Linked DNA regions of Macaca fascicularis. The protein of the gene in region 2 purifies or fractionates together with the protein of the main gene of each other region. This does not show direct contact. Links are inferred from orthologs where the notes say so. Each region holds a gene or a part of one and is shown on either strand. Other genes may lie near its edges. The genes, in order: ITGB1, CD151 and ITGA3.

Region 1 (4,245 bases), on a different chromosome or scaffold from region 2:
ATACTCAGAAAGTTAAGTTCTCGGAACTTGAAAGCTCTCTGAAACTTTTACAAGATGTTTCAGCTTATCACACTAGCAGCATGGTTAAGGGCAAACCAGAGCAGCTACAGAATATTAATGAATATTTTTTTCGGACAGAACACTGTACTACTCCCTGCTGTAAGCCACAACTTACTTATCAAGAAGTCAAACAATAAAGACATTAAAATCAGTGGCAAGCACTCTTAGAAAAACTGGCACCATGTTGTTTGACCACTTTTCATTATTATAGTATGACCATTTGTCCCCAGTGTCACTCCCAGAGTTAGGAAGAACACCAATGTAGAACTACATTTTCATTCGTGATGGTAATTTGGGGCTGATTTAAATTAAATTATACTGACCAGAAAGCTAAGAAGAAAGCTGCCTAATTGTTAAAATTACTAAATGCAGTGACTTTCAGAATTGTTGATTCCATGCATTTCATGTACAGAATGTTGAAGGTATTCAAAAATAACTTTAATACAGAACTTTACATTGTTAGGAAAATCACATAAAATTGTAGGTCTAGGTCTGAAGTCAACATAGATGAGTTAAACAGTCTATTTGCTTCCTTTTTACACAATTAAACTATTAACCACATTCTTTGTCCTTTTAGCTAGTATTCTAATAACATCTTCCACCTTCATACTCAATTTTGGGGTAAGTAAAATGGCTTTCCCCCCAAATGCCTGTAATCAAAATACCAATGTTTTTTATTTAACACTTCACCATCTTCAGTCACTTATATAATATTGATCAATGAGCCAACATTATTTAAAAATATGAGAATTACAGTGAGACTCTAAGTCCTGACCCCTCTGGGCCTTGATGTCCACAAATGAACAGGTAACTGCCAACTAAAGTTCCTTAATCATTTCTAAAAGTGGCCTATTGTATACCCTATCGTAAAGGGCATATGTGGTTTAAGAAAGATGTCTAAATTCCTCTAGAACGTTATTTTTGTAGCATCAGAAGTACAATAAGAAAAATAATAATAACCTAAGGGCCAGGCTCAGGGGGCTCAAGTCTGTAATCCCAACACTTTGGGAGCTCTAGGAGAGAGGACTGCTTGAGCCTAGGAGTTTGAGGCCAGCCTGGGCAGCATAGTGAAATCCTGTCTCTACAAAAAATTAAAAAATTAGCCGGGCATGGTGGCAGGCGCCTGTCGTTCCAGCTACTCAGGTGGCTGAGGTGGAAAAATAACTTAAGCACGAGAGGCTGAGGCTGCAGTGAGCTGTGATAGCTCCTCTGCACTCCAGCCTGGGCGACAGAGACCCTGTCTCAAAACAAAACAAAATAACCTAGCAATTCTATCCACCTGTTATCCATGTGGCACGTTGGCCCAAAGAAACCTTACTAATGATGTTACCAATTACCTTCCGAGAAATCTTTTTACTATAAAAGAAGGGCTGAAAAGCAGTCAATATTCATTGAGCATCTACTCTCAAGCTAAGTGTTTTACATTTTGCATTTGATTTTCACGACTATAGTTAGGAAGGTTACTTTTGGTTTAAACGTAGGCTCTGGAGCTAGACCCCATGCCTTCTCCAGGAGCTCCCGATGACCATATGCAACTTACTTTTTGCTCCCTGTGCCTCCGTTTCTTCACTCGGAAAATGGAAATAGAAACAGTAGCAATCTCATTAGAGCAGTTCCAGAATTAAATAATACACATGAAATGCCTAGAGCTAAACCTGGCCCTCGCTGTCATTGTTATAAAAATGAATTATTAGTGTAGGTAGTATTGTTCCTATTTCACAGATGAGGAAACGGAAGCTTAGAGAATGCAATTTACTAATGATCATACCAATGAGTGCAAAGCTTTGGACTTAAAAGCACGAATTTGATTAAATGAAAGTTACTTAGAGAGTGGGAGTCTCATAAATCCAATTTATGAAGCCTAAGAAATGACACGCGGTAAAAATGATACTAGACACAGGACGGGCTCTCAGGCTCGCGGACCGGGTCTGAGCGCAAAGTGGCCGTGGCCCTGTGTCCTGGTCCCGGGGTGCCCGGCAGGGGCCGGCGACTCTTGACTTCCCGGCATTCGCGTTTATAAACACCGGGAAGTGAACTGCACTGCCGCCGCCGCGCCCCCGGTCCCCAGCGGCTCCGCGAGGCCACTTTCTATCCCGGCTCCAGTCGGAGAAGACCAGTCCCAACAGCGGGCGCCGACGGCCGGCTCGACGCTGCTCCAAAAACAGCAGCCAGCGAGGGAGCGAGAGACAAAGGCGCAGGACCAGTCCAGGGGCGCGCTGAGTCCTAAACGCCGAGCCCCGGGTGGCCTCGCTGGCTCCCACCTGCGCTCGCCCAGCCTGGCGGGAGACCGCAGGTGTCAGGAGCCGCTCAGGCCCGGTCCTCCGCAGCTCCAGCAGCCCCGACGTGACAGCGCCCAGGCCCGCGACCCTAGCGCTCGGAACGCGGCTGGGCCGACTCGGCGCCCGGACGCTGCCAGCGCCTGGGACCCGAGGGGGGTGGCGGTGTGCGGACTTCCTCCCGGACTAGCCTGGAATCCCGCCCCAGCCCCCACCGGCCCGCGGCCGCCCCCGCCCCCGCCCCCACGCCTGGCACAAAGGTCCCGGCGCGGCCCGGGCCGGCGGCTGTTAAGTGCTGTTGCGCACCGCAGACCCGAGGCCGCGGCCCGCACCCCCACACCCGAGGCCCGCCGGCGCCTACCTTCTCCGCGCGGCGTCCGGGCCCCGGCGCGGTGGGCTCCGGCCTGCTGTTCCGCGACTCCCGCTCGGCCTCTCCTGCGGGCTGGCGGGGCCTCCCGAGTCTCGGGCGCGGCGGGTGGCGGCGGCTCCTCCTCCTCAGGGGCGGGAGGAGGGGACTCGGCGGCCCAGAGCCGCCCCCCGGCAGGAAACCAGCCGCGGCCCCGCCTCCTCTGCGCGTCTGATCCCGCTCCCGAGGCCGCCACCGCCCTCTCCCTCCGGAAACGCATTCCTCTCCCGCCGCGTCAGCCCGGCCCCGGGGCGAGGAGGAGGCGCAGGAGGAGGCAGGAAGCGCGACCGGGACAAAGGAACTGGCCCGCTCGGGAGCGCGCCTGAGGGAGGCCGTGGAGGGCAGGGCCGGGACTCCGCTGAGACAGTCGCCATGCCTCAGTTTCCTCCTCTGTGAAGGGCGGGAGGGGTCGGTTGCGCCCTAAAGCCCCGCGCGTTCCTGGTGTAGCCTGCTGGGCCCGTGTTCTTTAAGTTCCGCTTCCTCGGATCCGCGTGTCCGACCCTCCCTCCCGTTTGTCCACTGATGTCCCGTTGAGAGCCCGGGAGGTCCTGCATCCCGGAAGCCCCCTCAGTCCCGAGGCAAATCGGTACCATGAACCCCCCCATACCCTGCAGGACTCCATGGGGCCAAAAACCACGTGGTCATTCTGGAAGGGAACTGGCTAAGCCAGGACTGCTTTTCTGGAGTGATAATGTGCTAGCGTGTGTCTAAGAGAAAGGTGAAGACTTGGGAAACCCGTGGGTGCCACGAAGGGTGGTGGGACTGGGGAACGTTTTAGAAAACCTGGTGAGTTGGGTCCTGCTTTTGATAGATTTATCTGGAGGTCCCTTTATGGGGAACAGGGATGAGAAGGAAAAGTTTCTTCCTACGGAGTAGAGTTTCTGTTTCAAACCTCTTTAAAAAAGAAAAAAAAAAAGGAGATGGGGGCTGGAAACAGAACGTTTGAAAGAGAAGGAAACATTCATTATGAGAATGGCTGGGCGCATGTCGATTCGATGATTGAAGTTCGTACCAACCAACATCATACTGAAACCCAGTAATTTCAGTATACGCTGCTGGCAAGCTGCTATCCTGGTAGCAGAAAATGTTGTAGGTTCCACTTGGTGAGCTGCAGCACCCTGTTGGGAAAAGAGCTCAAAAATTACCAGATTTATGAAACTGAGAAGAATCTTGCAGGAGATGAGGGGCTGGAACGCCCATTTGGCTGCTGCCAATCTAAAATATAAGAGAAAATGAGGCGATCACATCTAAGAAAATTTGCACATTACTTACCAGCAAAATCAAAACTATTGGTTAGCCAATGTCTGCAGACCTCTAGGAAATAAGCACTATTTTTCCCGCTTAATGGATGTTCAAGCTTAAGAGGCTAAATGATGTTCCTATGTTAATATCTCAATGGTCAAACTGCCATTAGAACACAACATTCTTGAATTTTAAAGGTATGGATTTTACCATTGTTGAGAATTCATCAGAATTAGCCCAGTCTCATTACAGAAAACTGTA
Region 2 (4,257 bases):
TTGAGCTCCCTCAGACCCTCTCAATGTCTGACTCCTCCTCTCCTAGGGAACTGAACACACGGCTGCGGGATGACAGGGACGCCTGCGAGGCCAGGCGGGCAAGTGGCAGCCGCAGGAAGGCTCTGACGACTGCCCACCTGCCTGGGCCCACCTGCTGCTGCTGCTGCTGCTGGGCTCGGCCCCACAGACGAGGCTCTGGCCACCTTCCCAGTGCCCGGTGACCAGCTCCGAGTGACTCAGAGCATCAGCTAGAAGCTGCTCTTCTGGGAGGCTTGTCATGGGTAGGGGGTACCCACTCAGGATGTGGGCTCTCCCCAGGGGGCCCCAGGATCGCCTGACTGAAGAACTGAAGACATGAAGGACCTAGCCTGGGAGTGGTCAGGGTCCCGTGTGCCCTCTGCCAGCCTTCGCTCTGTCCCCAAGCAACCCCAACTCAGTTCAGCAGAAAACCCCCCTCATCAAATAAAACCTACTGACTGCACTGCATCCTCCTGGGCCTTCCGTGCATCTGGGGGCCACAGCCTGTGTGTGCCACATGCATGAGGTGGGCACTGTGCACACGTGCTGTGTGGGTGAACACAGGGAGCACGGGCCTGCGGCGATGGGGCTGAGGTCCTGCGTGTCCTCTTGTGTCCCTGGTTATGCCCCAAACTCACACTACCCATCAAGGCTGGAGCCTCCACAAGGCCCTCGCCAGTGTGTGGATCAGGGTTCCCCACTGTCTCACCAGGGAGCCCCGGCAGTTCCTAGCCTCAGTCGGCCACCCCCTCCCATTCTGGTCCTCACCTGTGGCAGTGATGAATGAGCTTGGTGGGTGGGGAGCCCCCTCCTTCCTCACTCCCACTCTCCGCCTCTTGGTGCAGCCCTAGGCCGGCCCTACCATTCCTCCTTCACCTCCTCCCACCGCTCCCAGTGGCCCCTTCCAGTCTAGAGGGCATGGGCCCCCCAGAACCCCATGGGTATCTCTCGCTGGGACCCCAGGCCTGCCCGGGTCTCCAGGCTGTCCACACTGCACGCAGAGTAGCCCCTCTCCTGCATCTACCCACAGCGCTAGGCCCTCCCCTCCCCCAGGCCGGCATCCGTTCTGCCGACCCCTGCAGCCTCTGGGCGGTTCCTGGGTGCTGAGAAAGAGATGGGGGTTAGGCATGGAGGAGGGCCCGGTCGCCACAGCCCAGGCCCTCTGGCTGGGCTGGTTGCCGTGTTATCTCCGGGCCCGCCTCCCGCCCAGCTCCTCTGTCCCTGGACCGGATGAGCCCTTGATGGGCTGTTGGCACCCCCAGGGCTGCAACTCGCCCGGCCTCCGCAGTGTCGGGTCGACCCCCAGCGCCTACACCCACCGGCTCCCGCCCGCCACGCGGGTTCAGACCTGTCGAGCTCCTGACGCCCCGGGCGGGGCTTGAGGCCGGGGCGGGGCCTGGGCGGGGCGGGGCGTCCCCCTCGGAGGCGCCGGGCCGCGCATTCTCAGCGCTGGGAGCCGCCGCCCCCGCAGCCGCCGCCGCCCGGTCCCGGACTCCGACGAGTGGTAGGTGAGTGCGACGTCACGGCAGCCCGACCGAGCGGGGCGAGGGGAACGAGGAGGCCGAAGGCCCTGCGCGCCCCAGTCCCGGAGGCCCAGCCGCAGGCGCCGGGAGGTTCCGGGAGGCCGCACCCACCGCCTGGCCCAGCTCCTTCGCAGGCCCTTCCGCGGGAGGCGGACGCCGGTCGGGTGAGGGAGGCGCAGTGGCAAGGAGAGGCGCCTCCCGGACTCTTGGACCGGCCTGACGGCACCCTTCGGCCCAGGGGTCCCGGGACGCGCAGCCTGGACACCCTGCTCATTGTCCCTGGACACGGCAGCCTTCCCTCCGCCCGCAGCCGCCCCCGCCCGCGTGCAAGTGGGCGCGCCATTGGCCGCGCCGGGCGGGGTCGGCGGCGGTGACCTCATTGCAGTGCCGCGGGGACGCTTGGCAGGCGCGGAGTCCCAGGTCCTCCTGACTGGGGCTCCCCCTGATAGGGCGCGGGTCGCCCAGGGGCCTGGTGCGGGTCCCGGGGACTCGGGGAGGGCCGGAGAGCTATTTTTGGATGGCCTTTTCCCAGGGGGTTCAGAGGGACTAGGCATTCCTGGGAAGAGGGGCCACTCCGCAGCGGGTCGCCTGTGTCCTCGCGGTGGAGGCCGCATCTGTGCCTTGAACCAGCCTCTCCAGAAAGCCTGGGACCTCACAGCCAGGCCAGGGGCACATCCGTGAGGGGCTCACACATCCCCCCAGCTCAGTGACAGACACACATCCCCCCCATCGGTGGCAGGCACACCGCCCCGCTGGTGGCAGGGTCTGCTCGTGCCACCCCTCGTGCGTGTATTTAGGCCCTGGGCTTCATGGAGGGTGAATGTCCCCTCTCAGCTCAGTGGTCAGGTCTGTCCCCGCGAGCTTCATGATGCTACTTTCCCAGGCTGTAGCTGCTGCTGTTTGGGGCAGAAGGGCCAGTGATGGGCCTGGAGCGAAGGCCAAGAGTGGGGCACCTGGGGAAGGCATGAGGTCCCTCCCAGGATCAGACACTGTCCGGGAATGTCCTCTGCCTTGGGAGGCCAAGGCGGGTGGACCACCTAAGGTCAGGAGTTCAAGACCAGCCTGGTCAACATGGTGAAACCCTGTCTCTACTAAAAATACAAACATTAGCTGGGCGTGGTGGTGGGCGCCTGTGATCCCAATGACTCAGGAGAATGAGGCAGGAGAATTGCTAGAACTCAGGAGGTGGAGGTTGCAGTGAGCCAAGATCGAGATCATACCATTGCACTCCAGCCTGGGTGACAGAGCGAAACTCCATCTCAAAAAAAGGAAAAAGGCCGGGCACGGTGGCTCAAGCCTGTAATCCCAGCACTTTGGGAGGCCAAGACGGGCAGATCATGAGGTCGGGAGATCGAGACCATCCTGGCCAACACGGTGAAACCCCGTCTCTACTAAAAAAATACAAAAAACTAGCCGGGCGGGTGGCGGGCGCCTGTAGTCCCAGCTACTTGGGAGGCTGAGGCAGGAGAATGGCGCGAACCCGGGAAGCGGAGCTTGCAGTGAGCTGAGATCCCACCACTGCACTCCAGCCTGGGCGACACAGTGAGACTCCGTCTCAAAAAAAAAAAAAAAAAAGGAAAAAAAGAAAAGAAATGTCCTCTGCCTTGCCCCACCCTAGCCCAGACTAAAATACCAGGCTTGGCCACTCCTCTCTCTGCCTCCAGAATGAACCCAGCCCACTCTGGCCCTTGGGCCAGACGTGTAACCTGTGACCTGACGTGTCCTTGCCCCTCTAGCCTAGAGTCCTGGGGAGCTTCTGTCCACCTGTCCTGCAGAAGAGTCGTTCCTAGCCCGGTTGGTGTGTGCTGGGCAGGGTGGGGCAGAGCAAGCGGGGCGGTGAAAGTCCAGGCCTGGCTGTGCTGTCTGGAAACGTGGCCCGGGGCGCTCACCTGCTGTCTGCACCCCACGCGGTCCCTGCCTTCCCTGTGCTCACAGCTTGCCCGCTGCTGCATGTTGGGCAGGGCACGGGGCCTCTGGGGAGGGGCACAGCCTGTCTGTGCTGCCCCCTCGTGTTGGTGTGGGTCCCCTGTCCAGGAAAAACCCTCCCAGTCTGCCAGACTCCACCTGCCTCCACGCTCCATTCTCCCCACTCGGGCCAGGAGGAAGGAAGGGCTGCCCTTTAACAGACCGTAAACAGGCCTGGAGAGCCTTAGGAAGGGGCTGAGCTGGGGCCTGTCTGAGCCTCTGCCCCTTTGCTGTCTCTGTCTCTGAGTGGCCTCCTCCGCCCTCACTGAAGGCCCGTAGTCTCCTGTCAGCCTGTGACGTGGGGCCCCGGGAATGCCGTGGGGGGCGGGCAGGCTGGCATGAGCTCACCGGAGGTACCCGCTAGGGCTTCCTCCCCGGGCCGCCAGCAGGGATGAGTCAGCAGTGATGATGGGCGGTCCTCCATGACCCCTGGCCTATCTGTGGGCACCAGGGGTCTCTCGTGGCTGCACCTGGTCAGGGCTCCTGAGTCGCTAGGAGGTGACACGTCATGTTCCCACAGGGGCTCCTTCGCAGGTCTCCCAGGACAGTGGCTGGCTCCACCCGACTCCTGGGCTGGCTTGGGCATCTGTGTTCCCTCCTCCTATCTGTCCCTGTCAGGGGTCTGGTGCTGTGGCCCCGCTGACCCCTCCCCTGCCTCCCCAGCCCCAGGATGGGTGAGTTTAACGAGAAGAAGACAACATGTGGCACCGTTTGCCTCAAGTACCTGCTGTTTACCTACAACTGCTGCTTC
Region 3 (3,500 bases), on a different chromosome or scaffold from region 2:
GACACTCCAAAAACCCAGAGTTGCACAACCATTGAGTGTAGAGAAGAGGAAATTTGAGCCCAGGTCCGTCTCACAGCAGTGGCTGGGATTTTAACCATAACACTACAGCGAACATCACTGAAAGTGTCAAGGCTTTTAACATTCTAATCATTATCTCCACAAATAAACCCCAAGTGTTGGGTTATCTTCTTAAACTGAACTCTTCCCAGTTTGCAGCTTTGGATCAGATAAGGCCTAGGGAATCAGCAAGCCAAGCTTGTTAGTAAGCCCTGTAAAGAGAGCGGAAGCAGGTCCCAGGCAGAAACCAAATGACTTCCACAGTGCACACTTGGCCTCTGTTGACTGAACTTTCTGGCACCTAGTTTGGGTCTTCAGAGGCTCCTTTGCCTTCCTCTTCATTCTCAGCTATGTCCTGGGAAACTGAGGTTATCAGCAAAGTGACTTTCAGAAAAGCCAGGTGCCCCTATGGCACTGACTCCAGCCCTGGGTCTGCCCCTGTCCCTGATACCCCAGGTCCGATTGGTTCCCAAGTCCTGCAGAACACTTATGAGGACCCCTATATCCAGGGCTCCCACCTTGTCCCATTCCTTATCATCCCCTACCTGAGATATTACATTCTTGATCTTCACTCCCCTAGCCTTGCTCCACCCCTGCACTCACTCATCCCATACCCCTTCCAGAATCATCCTTCAGGGTACAAAGTTATTATATCACATCTGTGCCCTAAAACTCTCTCTGGATGCCCCACCACCCCACCATCACCATTACCCAAATATAAATCCCTAAGATACTCCGCCTGGCTTTCAAATCATCCACTCTCACCCCACCCTACTCCACTCCCTCTTCAGCCTCCTCTCTGATGTGAACACTCCACACCTGCAGGTTTGGGCACACCAGGCCAGTTTCCATGCCCGTGTTGTGTCCCATCAGTTCTCTACTGTGCACTCTCAGCCCAGCCTTGGCTGCACAGCAGCATGCAAGCTCCTCCAGGAGGCCACTGAGCTTGCCTCTGTTGCTCCCTCTGCACACCTGCACATCCTCTCTCTAGTACTGCTGCGAGCTCCCCAGGTCCGGCCCAATCCTGTCTCATCTGTGGGCCCTGTCAAGCCTGGTGTGCAGCTGGCGCTCAGTCAGCAGGGGTGCTGGGGGAGGGGTGTTGGCTTATACCCTGAAATCCATCCTGGTTGATGTCACCAATGCTGGCCACGGATAAGCCGAAGGCGGAGCCACTGGGGCCATGAAGAAGAAGCGAGGGGTGAGCAGGGAAGGAGGTTCCCGCCTGGTTCATGAAGACATAGACGGCACCCCCTACCTCCTCTTTCCTCTCAAAGTAGTAGGGGGCGCCCACCAGGAGGTCCTGCCACCTGCACAGGAGAGAAGGAGAGGGAAATGGGAGTGTGAGGTCAGCCTCCAATATGCAGCATAGCTCTTGTTTGACAGGCGTGACTGTGCCAGGGCACAGGGCTCTGTAAATGGCTCTTTTGGCCACAGGTCATGGGTGGGAAGGACATGTGCATGGGAAGGACATGGAGATGCCAATATGACTCCCCAAATAGAAGACATATGTCATGGCGATGCCATGCAGGCACAGATCAAACCCAAACAACCCACATCCACTGAAGCATACAAATCCCAAGCAGAAACAAGCATATGCAGGGGTCCCACAAATGCCATGTGCAAATGCCCAGACTCCCATAAAGCCTGATTGCAAACCCCTGCAAACAACATGCAGACAGCTGTACAACTGCAAATCCTCCACTCCCCTGACCTGGCTTAGGTAAGCCTTCCCCCACCCATCGCTCTCCCTGGCCCCAGAGGATGTCCCTAGATTCTCACCCATCGTTGTTCAGGTCTGCCAGGGCAATGGCGCTGCCAAAATAGGCGCCCACCTGCGAGCCCTCCAGCACCTGCCTCCTCCGCAGGTCTCCGCCTGCCTCCTGGCTCAGCAAGAAGACCGCGCCCATATGTCGGTGCCGTGGGGCACCTGTCACAATGGTGATGTTTTTGGGGTGCAAGATGGCGCTGCCTACCTGCACCGTGTACCCTGGGATAGAGGGAAGATGTTCAACCAAGGTCCCAGTCAACTTTGTCTCTTTCTACTCTGGACCCATCTCCCTATCCCCTCCTTTGGTTTGCCCCCCACCATGATGTTCTATCCCACTATTCCAAGTAGGGCAAGTAAGTAGACTCCAGATGGCCAGCAGCCATGCCCCATCCCAGCCCTGGTTCTGCCTGGACACTGGACTGTGAGTATCCTAAAGGCAAGAACTTTGCATCTTGAGAGCTTGGAACAGGGCCTGGCATACAGGTGCTGGTCAATCTGCATGTGCTAGTTTAACTAAATGCCATTAGTCACAACTGCACTCTGGCCTCACATTTCCACCACGGACTAAGCCCCCTTCCCCTCTATCACTCGATGGGCTACCACTACTGTACTCACCAATATAGAGGTTTCCTTGGTCCTCTGGGTCCTTGTAACTATACTCAGATAAGTCCCACTCCTTACGCTGAATCATGTAGCTGTTTCCTTCACAGGGATTGAGGGAGGGAGAGTAGGGAGTATAAGTCACCACTGGTTTCCTCTACCATGTCCAGCCCACCCCCATCCCCACCCAACAAGGATAATAATAACCCCTTTTATTGGTGAGCACTTTGCCATTTATTAATCACATCCTCTTTAACAATTACTTTTTCCTCTTTTTTTTTTTTTTTTTTTTTTTTGAGACAGAGTCTCGCTCTTGTTGCCCAGGCTGGAGTGCAGTGGTGTGATCTTGGCTCACTGCAACCTCAGCTTCCCAGATTCAAGTGATTCTCCTACCTCAGCCTTCTGAGTAGCTGGGATTACAGGCGTGTGCCACCATGCCCGGCTAATTTTTGTATTTTTAGTAGAGACAGTGGTCAGGCTGGTCTCGAACTCCTGGCCTCAAGTAATCCGTCTGCCTCAGCCTCCCAAAGTGCTGGGATTACAGGTGTGAGCCACTGCACCTGGCCTATTTTAACAATTCTTCGAGGTGAAATTATGACCCCCGTTTTGCAGATGAGAAAAGTGAGACTCGGGAGGGAAGTTGACCTGCTCATAATCCCATGGGGAGCTGGTTGTTACAGCCATGGCTAGAACTTAATCATTCAGGCGCCTGGATATTAGAAGCTAGATGGCTTTCCCCACTCTCTAGACACTGAGGTCAGACTCCACACCATTACCTCTTTCTGGTCCTGACCCCAAACTTGGGCTGCCTAGCTGGACCCTGCACCCAGGGCTGCTGCTGGAGAGTATCTGTGACCCTGCCAAGGTGTGACATGACCAGGGGGTGGAAGGCAGGAGCAGAAGAGGGGGCAGAGGCCTCAGCCTTCAGTGAGCCCAGAGCTGTGACTATGCCTGGGGCTACCTGTTGGTCAGGAGGAGATTCAAGGCTCCTCTGCCTGCTGATTCTGCAACAACAAAGGTTCAGTAAGGGAAAAGGGGTCACTATTGCTAACCTGTGTGATGGAGGGAGGCAAAG

What was found.
Region 1: the proteins of CD151 (region 2) and ITGB1 purify together in Homo sapiens (affinity purification with western blotting; 4 studies listed by BioGRID and IntAct, with this or other methods). This does not show direct contact. The link is inferred for Macaca fascicularis from reciprocal best matches to the Homo sapiens genes CD151 and ITGB1.
Region 3: the proteins of CD151 (region 2) and ITGA3 purify together in Homo sapiens (co-immunoprecipitation; 4 studies listed by BioGRID and IntAct, with this or other methods). This does not show direct contact. The link is inferred for Macaca fascicularis from reciprocal best matches to the Homo sapiens genes CD151 and ITGA3.

Annotation. Positions count from the first base shown.
Region 1 is NC_088383.1:33,709,449-33,713,693, forward strand, and holds the start of ITGB1 (integrin beta-1), read right to left. Parts: upstream 2,801-4,245; 5' UTR 2,698-2,800; intron 2,525-2,697; exon of another isoform or gene 1,601-2,524; intron 1-1,600.
Region 2 is NC_088388.1:734,650-738,906, forward strand, and holds the start of CD151 (CD151 antigen), read left to right. Parts: upstream 1-1,457; 5' UTR 1,458-1,705; intron 1,706-2,424; exon of another isoform or gene 2,425-2,583; intron 2,584-3,277; 5' UTR 3,278-3,339; intron 3,340-4,026; 5' UTR 4,027-4,176; coding exon 4,177-4,257. Other genes in the region: CRACR2B (EF-hand calcium-binding domain-containing protein 4A), read left to right, coding at 47-221. UniProt on the Homo sapiens protein: Structural component of specialized membrane microdomains known as tetraspanin-enriched microdomains (TERMs), which act as platforms for receptor clustering and signaling.
Region 3 is NC_088390.1:56,644,002-56,647,501, forward strand, and holds part of ITGA3 (integrin alpha-3), read right to left. Parts: intron 2,528-3,500; coding exon 2,441-2,527; intron 2,045-2,440; coding exon 1,837-2,044; intron 1,365-1,836; coding exon 1,168-1,364; intron 1-1,167.